2 linked regions of the Drosophila melanogaster genome follow. The protein of the gene in region 2 interacts with the protein of the main gene of each other region in a pairwise test. Each region holds a gene or a part of one and is shown on either strand. Other genes may lie near its edges.

The links. Proteins that work in one complex are often made in the same cells at the same time.
Region 1: the proteins of CG13045 (region 2) and CG11905 interact in a two-hybrid assay, tested with the Drosophila melanogaster proteins (one large-scale study listed by BioGRID).

What each region holds. Positions count from the first base shown.
Region 1 is NT_037436.4:16,930,633-16,937,517, forward strand, and holds CG11905 (uncharacterized protein), read right to left. Parts: upstream 4,905-6,885; 5' UTR 4,856-4,904; exon of another isoform or gene 4,674-4,855; 5' UTR 4,577-4,673; coding exon 4,562-4,576; intron 2,729-4,561; coding exon 2,661-2,728; intron 2,380-2,660; coding exon 639-2,379; 3' UTR 540-638; downstream 1-539.
Region 2 is NT_037436.4:16,289,196-16,292,744, forward strand, and holds CG13045 (uncharacterized protein), read right to left. Parts: upstream 1,756-3,549; 5' UTR 1,681-1,755; intron 1,624-1,680; 5' UTR 1,603-1,623; coding exon 1,039-1,602; 3' UTR 517-1,038; downstream 1-516.

The DNA of each region.
Region 1 (6,885 bases), 640 kb from region 2:
AGTGGTTCGGGTCTTCACTGCAGGCAGAGCCTGTAGCTTTTCTGGTTTCTCCAACTCGCTGGAGCTGTCATCAGCTAAGCTTTCGGGTCGGCCAGTTGTGGTAGTGGTCGTTGTGGTTGTTGCACTGGCTATGGTGGCTTGATCGGCACTGGCGATGGTGGGTTGCACCACATAGGCCAGGGGCAGATTGTAGGCGGCGTAGTATGGGGCACTGAACAGCACGGGTTGATAGGCTCCATAGGGCGTGAGGTCCTGGGCCGGAGCAGATCCTGCAATGAGTTTTCCGGACTTCTCTGCGACGGGTGCTCCTGGTGGCCAGGCCTCGATATTGGTTGTGCGCCAGTAGGCACTTGAGTTAGGATAGTTTTTGGTTTAGGAAGAGTGGGATAGAGGAAAATGGTGAAGAGAACCGCCGGTTAGTCGTATATTATTTACAGCAATAATTCGAGGGGTTAAACTGTGTCGGGTTAATATCATGCGGAATAAGTGTGATATCTAAAACTACTATGTACAAGATGAAAGCAAAAGCCCAAACAATTACGAAATACAAATATTTATTAGAACACTAGACAATACCAACTATGGATCCTAACTAAATGTGCTAAATAATAGCTATTAGGTTTAAGCCTCGAACTGGATTAGGACTCGAACTGGCCCGTCTCCAGCCCCGCCCCCTGATCCGCCTCCATGGTTGTTGTGCCCGTGGGTGGAGCATAGTAGACCGTTGGTCCTGTAGCCACTATCTTTCCCTCTCGCGGAAAACTTCTCGTCTCCAGATCGGTGCGTGCCAGGGCATCTTTAAGGTCCACATCTGCCGGTATGGAGATCACCTTGGCCCCGGGACCGGCGATGGTGAGACTCCGTGGATGGGTGAGAGCATAGCCACCGGGACCAACAATCGCCGTTCCTCCGCTGCCCGCCGTGGCCACGCCCCCGGGTCCTGCGATAGCGATGCCGCCCCTGCGAACCTTTAGCCGCTGAATGATGATTCCTCCTTCGCGCAATGCCTGCTTTTGGGTGCTTTCCTGAGCGGTGGCCACCTGGCTCACAGTGTGCATCAGGTGATGGCCCTTGTGAGCAAACAAGTGCTTCTCTGAGGAGGCACTGTTGTCCAGTTCCGCGGCTGTGTTCTCAATGGTATCCACATCATCGGCCATCCCATCGCCGGCGCCCTCGTTTTCATCCTCCCATTTATAATCCATCGAATCGATTGAGTGATTCTTCACAGGAACATTGCCAACAACCACAGGACCTTCTCCAGCTGTGGCCGCCATTGGAGGTCGGAAGGGGAGCTTGAAAATGTTTTGAAAGGCATTCTTGATGGCAGTCGAGGTCTGATTCTGCATCTCAGCTATATTCATTCCGGGCATGCGGAATGGACTTAAGCGATTCCGATTGGGCAGCAAGCCACCAGATGGTGGTAAAGTAGAACTCAACAGGACAGGCGCAGATGTAGCCTTGATATTAAGGGATGTGGATCCCTGGTAGATTTGCTGTTCAGCATCCTTTCCACTCAAGCGAACGGGTTTCGCTGTGGAACCAACCTTCTTTCTGTTCAAAGAATTTAATTCCGGTGACGAAGTGGGCTGAATCTTCTGTGGCTTATGCACGGGCTTCTCGCGGGAGTCCAAACGATATTCCTTGAAGTTCACAGGCACTGGAGCCTTTGTGGTGGTCGTACCAATGGTGGTGGAATTACCCCTTTTTGGGGTGCCATCTTCATTGAGAGCCAGTTCTCGGGGCAGGAAGAACAGGTGATACTTGGGCGTCGTCTTGCCCTGTTTTCTTCCAGCCTTCGCCTTGCCATAGAAGCTGTCCACATCGCCAATGATTTTGTATCCCTTTATCTTGTATTCCTGCGAGGCGTGCTCCTTGAGATACTCCTCCTTATTGAGTTTGTACAGGTGCACGGGCACCACAAAGTGGGCGGGCAGCTGCTGTGCTTCTTGTTCGGAACTCGGCTTCGGTACCTCCACCTGTTTGGGTCGGAAGTAGAGTTGCGCTTTCTTCTCCTCCTTGGAGGTGCTCTCAATTGCCTGGCGCAACCTGGGAGGCACATTGTAACTGCCCGCCACATTTCTTGTGAGTTTCACCGCCCTAATTGAGGGTTCTAACAAGGTCTGACCATTACTTCCCGAGAAGTGGTGCTGATGGGCGTGAAATGGCTGATGGGCGGGCTTGGGGAACAGGTATTGACTGGAATCAAGGATCGGTGGCAGCTTGGGCTGCTCCGGCTGCTTCTTCACGTAGCCAAAGGCCTCGTTAACCTTGGCTATCTGCTCGAGGATGCGCTTGGCCTCGTCCGCCTTTTCCGAGGACGGAGTGGCCGCATTGGGCTCAAAGTCCTCGGGAAATTTGACCAGCCGCTGCTTCTGAATTCTGCAAACGAAAGGTGGGGTTTGTTTGGTGGTCTCTATCTGTTGGTGGAGTTAGCTTCTAGTTGCTAATGCAGGGTAATGTGTTGTTGGGTGGAGGGAAATGAGTTTTGAGGGTTAGTCACAAGTCTGGGCTTTTTTCGGTTTAGTCACATAGTTCTAGGCAAGCGCATCAACTTCTACTTGGAATGAGCATTAGCGTTGACACAGTCACATTTGGCAGGCAAGGCATTTCATGGTTATTTGGGGTCTTAGGGCTGGGTAACTAGCTACTAGTCTACTTACTCGACGGCCAGTCCACCGTGCTGTTGAGCCTGGCCAAGTGCCAAAGAGGCCAGAAGCAGTGTTGAGAGCTGAAAGACAAATGTGTGACAATAGATGAATGAGATCTATGATTTATGCCGGTTAGATAGGGTGTCTGTATTCTGATGTCGTAATGGATACAAAATTCACACGTGTGGAATGCGGTCAAGTCCCGAAAGTCGCGAAAGTCTCTCTCTCCCTGCTCCTCCAGCACATTTGCATAATTTCTTTCGCTGCTGAAAGCTACGCCGAAAAGTGAGAGCCAGGTGGCAAGGAACGGCTTATGTACTTGACGGATTTTCCCTCGAATACGATTGTCAAGAACCTCACGATCGGCAAATATTTGACTCACTCTCGCCGGCTCTCCACATCTTTGGCAAAGTCAATATTGACGCAACCGTTAGCCGGTGGAAACGACCAGCCCGCACGCCTATCTATCAGCGCCGAAATGTCACAAAGCCGAGAGGAACTGAGACCAAAAGCCAAAACCAAAGCTGGATTCGAAGTCGAGGCTCGTGTTGTGTCATTGACCTGAACCTCTAGGCGGCTGTTACGATTTCGGTGCCGAAACGTAACTCGAGAGAAGAGATTCTGGCGCAGAGGCTGTCGAACCTGGTTGCCATTGATTTGCAAGAACTCTTGCATCCCCAAGCAGTAAGATGTATTTCTGTCTGCTTTCTTTTGTGTATTTCGCCTTATTTATTATATTGCCCTCACATAACGATGCCGATTCGACCCCATATCAGGTGTGTCTTGTCCAAAAATAAACTGGGTTAATGGCTCGAATGCAAAGTTTAAGCGCAGCATTTTATGTTCTCAAACAAGTTATAAATGAGTCTGTCTCCTGATCTTCACATCCGATCAGGTGTCTTTTGGTCTTAAATGATATTCCAGAGCCATTCCAATGCAGCTAATTGAGCAGGGATTGATGGACTTGGGACGTGTGGCTAACTGTCTACACTCATAAATTGATTAATTTATGAACCACTATCGAAACGATCACAAACTCGAAAACAAACCAGTGCACTTATAGTTAAGAACCCCACACAAATGTGACCGATTGTTTGATAGTTGGGAGGGGGAAAAGAAGACTTATATTACCATTTGTTAGCCCACGCATGATTTTTATACGTTTGCGGCATATTAATTTTATGTTCTTTGAGTCATAATTATTTTTTGGGCTTTTCAACCCAAGTGGTTGTATTGGTTGTGGTTATAATTGAATGGCATTGTTGCTTATGGGAGTCGCTGTAGAGTTTTGACTTTTAAGGGCATGCTTTTCATAATGGGAATATGAATAATGCAAGGAACAATACTTCCTAGGTATGAATGATTAATTCTCACTTTTTAAATTGGGGTGGGGCTAGAATATTGTCACGTTCAAATGGAATGGACAAAAGGGTTTCACTTTTCAGAAAGAATTAACTCTTTTGAAAAACCTTTACTAAGTGAACAATAACTGGCACAAAGAAGTCTTAACCTTTTGCATTCATATAAAAAAAAGTTTCCCCAATATAGTTCTTTGCGTCCAAATTGATTTGTGATTATTATAAACCCCAAAAAGATTTTAGGCACTCTTATTAATATTTGCATATGGCACAGAGCATAATTAAGGCTAATTAAGGCGATCAAAAAAAGGAAAGAACCAAGCCAAGAATCAAAAAAGTCGCTTAGTGAAAGTTAGTGTCGATTCAGAAGTGAAAGAAACAAAAGACTTAAGGCACGAACTTGGGCCAGTTGACGAGTTAATGAGTTCAGCGGCAGCACAGAGCAATAAATGATTAATTGCGGTCAGGTATAAACTAGTTTCGTTTTGTATTCCCAAAATGTGAAGTTAAGTCATTCATGGTATTTAATTTTCTTTTTTATGCGATTTGACTTACAACAAGAAAGCGCATTTTAACGCGAGGTTCTGGTGAATAGTTTCAGATTTTTCAATAAATGCTTGGTGTTCGTGGCGTTGACCAATCCTCGCCTTGACAATATATCCTTGAACTGCAAACGAGAACGGGAATGAGTGGCACTCTGGGTTATCACGCGGCAAAATCACACACACTAAAAGCACTATAAAACCAATCCTGCTGAGCTTTCAATTTACGATTGTTTCAGGTTCCGTTGTTTTTCTTTCTTTTTTTTTGTCACGCACAATAAATAGGGTCTGGAAATGGAACTCCTACCAAGAACCAAGAGCCAGCGAGCCAGGCGACGTCTGAAGATGAACTGAGTGCTGGCCGGGCCCAGCGCGTCTGTTTATAACATTTCCATTAGCGATGCAAACGACGAAGCGAAAGAAATGGCCAAGAAAACAGGGCCCGATCAGGTGTAAGAGAACTGGGTTTTGGGCAGAAGAGAGAGTCGAAGAGAAGACCGCGATTCGGGCACGTAGTCGAGCGCCTTGGCCTGGCTTTTATCTGGGGGCGTGGATCTGTGGGATTTGGTTACCAGCTCCAGGGTACACAACACCAATTGATATGCAGGCTTACAACTCTAGGATTTCGCAGATCGAAATCTTCCCCGATCCCTTGGGTTAGGCAAATAGTTTGCCTAACATATTGTCAGATATTTCTCAAGCATTTGATTAAATGTGCTGACAGTCGCTTCTTCAGTCTACTGTTTCGCAAACTCGCACCTAGCAAGAACACAGAATCACAGCGCTGACTTTGATTAATTGGCCGTTTATTGGCTTGATTGAGTGTGACTGGACAGGAGCGAAGTGACTGGCCATTACAAGTGGAGTGAGCCACGAGAATAGAAGCGAAATGCGTGTGGGAAGTGGAAAGGTAATCAGCTCGGAACGGGCCCAGAACATGACATAAGCCAAAATGGTAAGAGACTTACCGTGATGAAAGAATCGATTCGTTGCCGGGCAATTCAATTAAAATGTTTGCCTGGAACTCGTTAGAAAGTTTCGCACATAGTGACTCAAGAGTCATGTTCTTTTTTTTTTTTTTTGATTTGACAAGCACTTCGGCGTGAAGACTTCACACACTTCTCGGGTATCAACAGATGTCAGGATTAAGACTTAGCTTCGGACCGTTTTTGATCGATAATCATGAATAACAAATGTCTGAAATCAGAGAAATTGATTTCAGGTTCGTGCCTTAAGTCATTTGTTTTCATTGCAGACCAGTCTTTATTAGCCCAGAACCATTAATTTTGTGATTAACTTTGCTGTGATACAACTGCAATTTATTCTTTTATTGGCTTTTATGCCCCGAGCAGCCAGCTACTGACTGCGCTGTGAAATAATGCATATTCCTTGATTAAGCAGCATCGAACGGGGGGTCGACCTTTGTGGCACACGCAGGCATCAATAAAATTGCCACAAGATTTATGGTTTCGAGTGCGCAGAGCCGAAGGGAGCATACGAAATTAGCAGCAACACGTTGTAAGCCCCGAATGCGCCACACGCACCACTTGATCCACAATTGGAATGCAGCAATCAAAAGGCGATAAATCGAACCCCAACTGAAATCCAAGCAGCCGAAGAGCGAGTCGAGAAGTTGAAGACCGAAGACCGAAGACCGAAGACCCAAGACCCAGAGACCTTGGGGCCTATTTATAAATGCAGGCGAAACGGGACTGCTAGTGGGATGTCGTTGCCTAGGCCCGGGCCAATTAAGTCTGACCTTCGGCGAGGAGGAGAATCCCAGCCCAAACCGTTGTTTATGAGGGGGAAAATAAACAGAAACAGCTAACTGGCACCTGGGAGAGCCGGAGCCCCAGTAATTTGTGGTTTCAATGCAGGCCGTTCTGCTGCTACGCTAACCCAATTATGCACCTCGGCTACTTCCCAGGTGAGCCATTGATTTCTACGCTGAGAACGTGGCCATTTCAGCCATACAAACCCTAGACCCGGCCGAATAGAATCTATGTCAAGCTATGGCAAGCTTTTTAGTGCTCTTCTGTACGTTCTTTTAGTGCATTCGGCGAAGAAAGTTTTCGAGTGCGTAGGAACTTGTTTCAGGGAAATCACTCGCTTAGATCTCTTGACATTAAAACTTAATTGTGGCAGTGAAACTTTCGGTCAAAACTGGCCCATGTAATAACTTTTTGTTTTAGCAAATATGCATATTATTATTGCTTATGGGCTTTTCTTGGCTTCGCGCGGCCAGAAATATATTTTATTTAGGCCACGCCGTGGACGCCAAGGCTTTCCGTTCGATTCAAATTATTTGGCAAGTGCGCGCACGCGTCGAACATTTCA
Region 2 (3,549 bases):
TGGGGAGCCACTTTTCACTATCGGAATTAATGTTAAATACAAATTTATTATTATTATACCCGTTACTCGTAGACCTTTAGATAGTAAAATACACTCACAATAAATGCGGATCCGAATGAGGTTTACACTGAAAGAAAAGGGAGGAACTTTTCCTGTTTTTATTTAAAATTCAGATATATTAATTTAATATTACACCCAGAAACTTACTTATTCATTTTTTTTTTTTCATTTTACTAACATTGATTTGCCAACAGAAAATGTTAAAATTTCTATTTCGTTCGCCCACTAGATGAGTAGTGGGTATCTTATAGTCGAAGAACTCGACTATAGCGTTCTTGTACTTCTAGTAATTTAGCTAATGTGCTGTTTATAGTGTAATAGCTTGATTTATTGACTTATAGATGTAGGTATCTAAGAAAATACTTATGTATTCTAATTCAAGATAACAAGATCCAATTAATATCCAAAAAGTGGACAAATACAGTTCTGTCTTCTTAAACATTAAATCTAAATGTTAAGCCGCCACCCAAATATATTAGTATTCAAACTTAAATACGGAAATACACAATTTACTTGATTTATTTGTTTAATAACAATATTTGTAGTGTAATCAAGCTGTCTATCTGTGAACTCAAAGGCTCTTTAAAGTTTAAACTGTTGACCCAATTGACGGATGGCTCCGCTATTTCCCTCTTTCATTCATTGACTTAGGTCAGTTGATCCGTAGTCATAGCTTTAATAGCGGCAAATTTATATTATTTATTCATTTTTCTGGGCCCTCTCAAAGTCAAGCCTCGCCTTTGGCCAAAATTGGCTGAGCCAAAAAATAACTTCGAGCCATGAAAACATCTGAATTATTTATGGGTATTGACATAAGCATAATTTAATCGCTACGCTTCGCGTTCTTCGCATAAATTCACCAGTCGCGTATAATACGAAACATAACAACATTATTTAGATTTAATTAATTGCTAATTTGAGGAAATTATCATTCATAGTTATGCATGATGAGCCAGAGCCCAGCTGGCGCTTCTCGAGTTACCAGCCCTGAGTGCTAAATGCTACAGGAGGGGGAGCTCCATAAACGGCGGCCGGAGAATGATGAGGTGGTGACCCAAAGTGGAGCTTGTACCTGCCATATGACGGGGCAGCAGCTGCAAACTGATAGCCAGTGGGTGGAGGAGCAAACCGGGCTATGAACTGTGGTGGTGGTGGAGCTGCTGCAGCATAATGAACGGCTGGTGGTGGTGGTGCTGCAAATCCGGTGTAGGTGGTGGTGGTAGTGGTCACTGGAGCTCCAAGGGAGTACTTAATAACTGGCTGTGGTGCCGCATAGGTTGTAGCATATTTAAAGATCGCCGGAGGTGGTGGACCATAGTGATCGACAGCTCCGTACGCAAATCCTTGATGGGCACTAAAGGCCGCTGGCACGGTGACGGTATCGGAAACGGGTACTGCTACTGGAGCAGGTACCGCCACTGGAGATGGAACCGGATATGGAGAAGGCACAGGAACTGGCACTGGGACTGGAACTCCCACGGGAACGCCCACCGTCGATGGTTCATGATGGAAACTTCCAAGCGCTGGAGCACCAAAACACATCAGAACACATATCAAAGGTATCTATATATAAAGATAAACTATTATTTTTCAGTTAAAAGTCACTTTCGATTCACTTGCTTTTGAAATATTTAACATTTTCACCCGTTATGCTTTCTTCCGTTTTCGATTTCCGTATTAAGTCACTTCTCCGCGACACTTTCACACGAAATGAATCGATTTTGGCTGACCATTGCAGGTTTATATATACCACGATCCGAGTTATGCTGATTTAGTGGGTGGAGGAGTAGGTGGAGGAGGAGTGGAGGAGGGGTCTGGAAACTAGAGGAGCCGAAAGGTAAAAACTCCATTAAGGGATCTGCGCACGACGTGCAATCGACAAGCGAATCGTGCGGCAAATGCATGCGACAAGTTTTGCAATGCCCCATCCGCAGGCGAAATTCGGTGGAAGTACGAACCACAAGTCGGTGGTCAAAACTTCAAATGAGGTAATTAAGGTGGAAGGTATAACTTCACACTTTACCGAAAAAAAAAAAATTGTTAACAGTTTAAGAACTCCGAATCAGTAAAGTAAAGATGTGAATGCTTTTGTGACTCCGTTTGAAGTCAAGAAGTCAACCTATCCAATCTTATTTTTTATTAGATTCCAATTCAGAATTGCTGTAGTCGGATAGATGGTGTTAAAATTAATAAGCATATGTATTATTTCAGACATCTTCTAAATAAATTCCTCAGATATAAGATATGCACCTTAACACACCCCTCTCTTCGGATCAACATCTTAAACTCTTCCACCTCAGAAGCCATTATCATGTGCACTTCATTCGCCCAAAGCCATGGATCACATTTACGAATGCACGCGCTACACTGCAGCAACTTTTACTGCCGCCGCCACCAGCTGCAAAAAAGTATAAAATATAAGACAAAAAAAAAAAAAGCAAGCAAGTGGCAAGAGCTGCAAGAAACCCATTGCGATCACGTTCCAGGCACCTTTTTATGCCTTATGACTCTGATTGATGGCCGTTGCCGAAATATAAATGCCAAAATATCACACGCCAGTTAAAAGTCGATTTATTACCGCCGCCAACAAAGCCATTTTCGTTGCTCTCAATTAGCCGTGGAAAAGCCCAAAAGTTGGCCGCGTCTTGTGCATCGCCTCCAAGTCGCCCAAAAGTGGGCAAACGTGTGCATGGAATTGCTACCATAAAATCTGGTCCAGAATCTGTCGTAAACAGGCGAAATTCCCGCACGGGTTGCCAATTAAATTTGGGTTGCCAAATGCGCGACACGCGCTCATCGAAATTGTCAACACAGGAGCAGGACGCTGAAAAAAAAGAATAACAGAGGAAAATCGAGGACGGGAAAGCCGGGGAAATTAGCATAACAAAGTGGCTAAATCAGAAATCGATATGTTCACCTTCGCTGAACCGAAAAAGGGGGCACAGATAGCGGGAATTTCCACGCACGTTTTTCTTTTTGTTTTCCTTTTGTGTTCCAAGTGGAGCACACGCCCAGCTTTTGAGCTGATTCTACTCCTCGAGTGGTTGCTTCGCGTTTTCCCCCATTTTCCATACAAATTTTCCACACATTTTCCGCCGCCGCTGGCAACAGGTGCTCTTGAAACGGAGCCGCATTGTAATGTAATGCGTGCTAAATCGCTGCACGTGTTTGGCAACAACAAGTGCGAATTTGTATCCCCCATCCACCACCAAAATAATACTTTGTTGCAAGCTATTGAAGTTTCAGCTGATTTGATTCACTCAATTGATTGCACACAACCTGTTAGCTGGAAGATATGCTACAAATATTATTCAAATGGTTTTTCGTTTCGAGGAAACCGTTGAATGTATACCAAATCATAAAATTATTTTCGCTCATCAATTTTGAATATGTACACGCTTTCCTTCAATCGCAATTTCATTTGAATTTCAATGTTGCCCCACCATATTATTTATACAATGCGATAAAGCTCCTTCTTGCTTATACGCA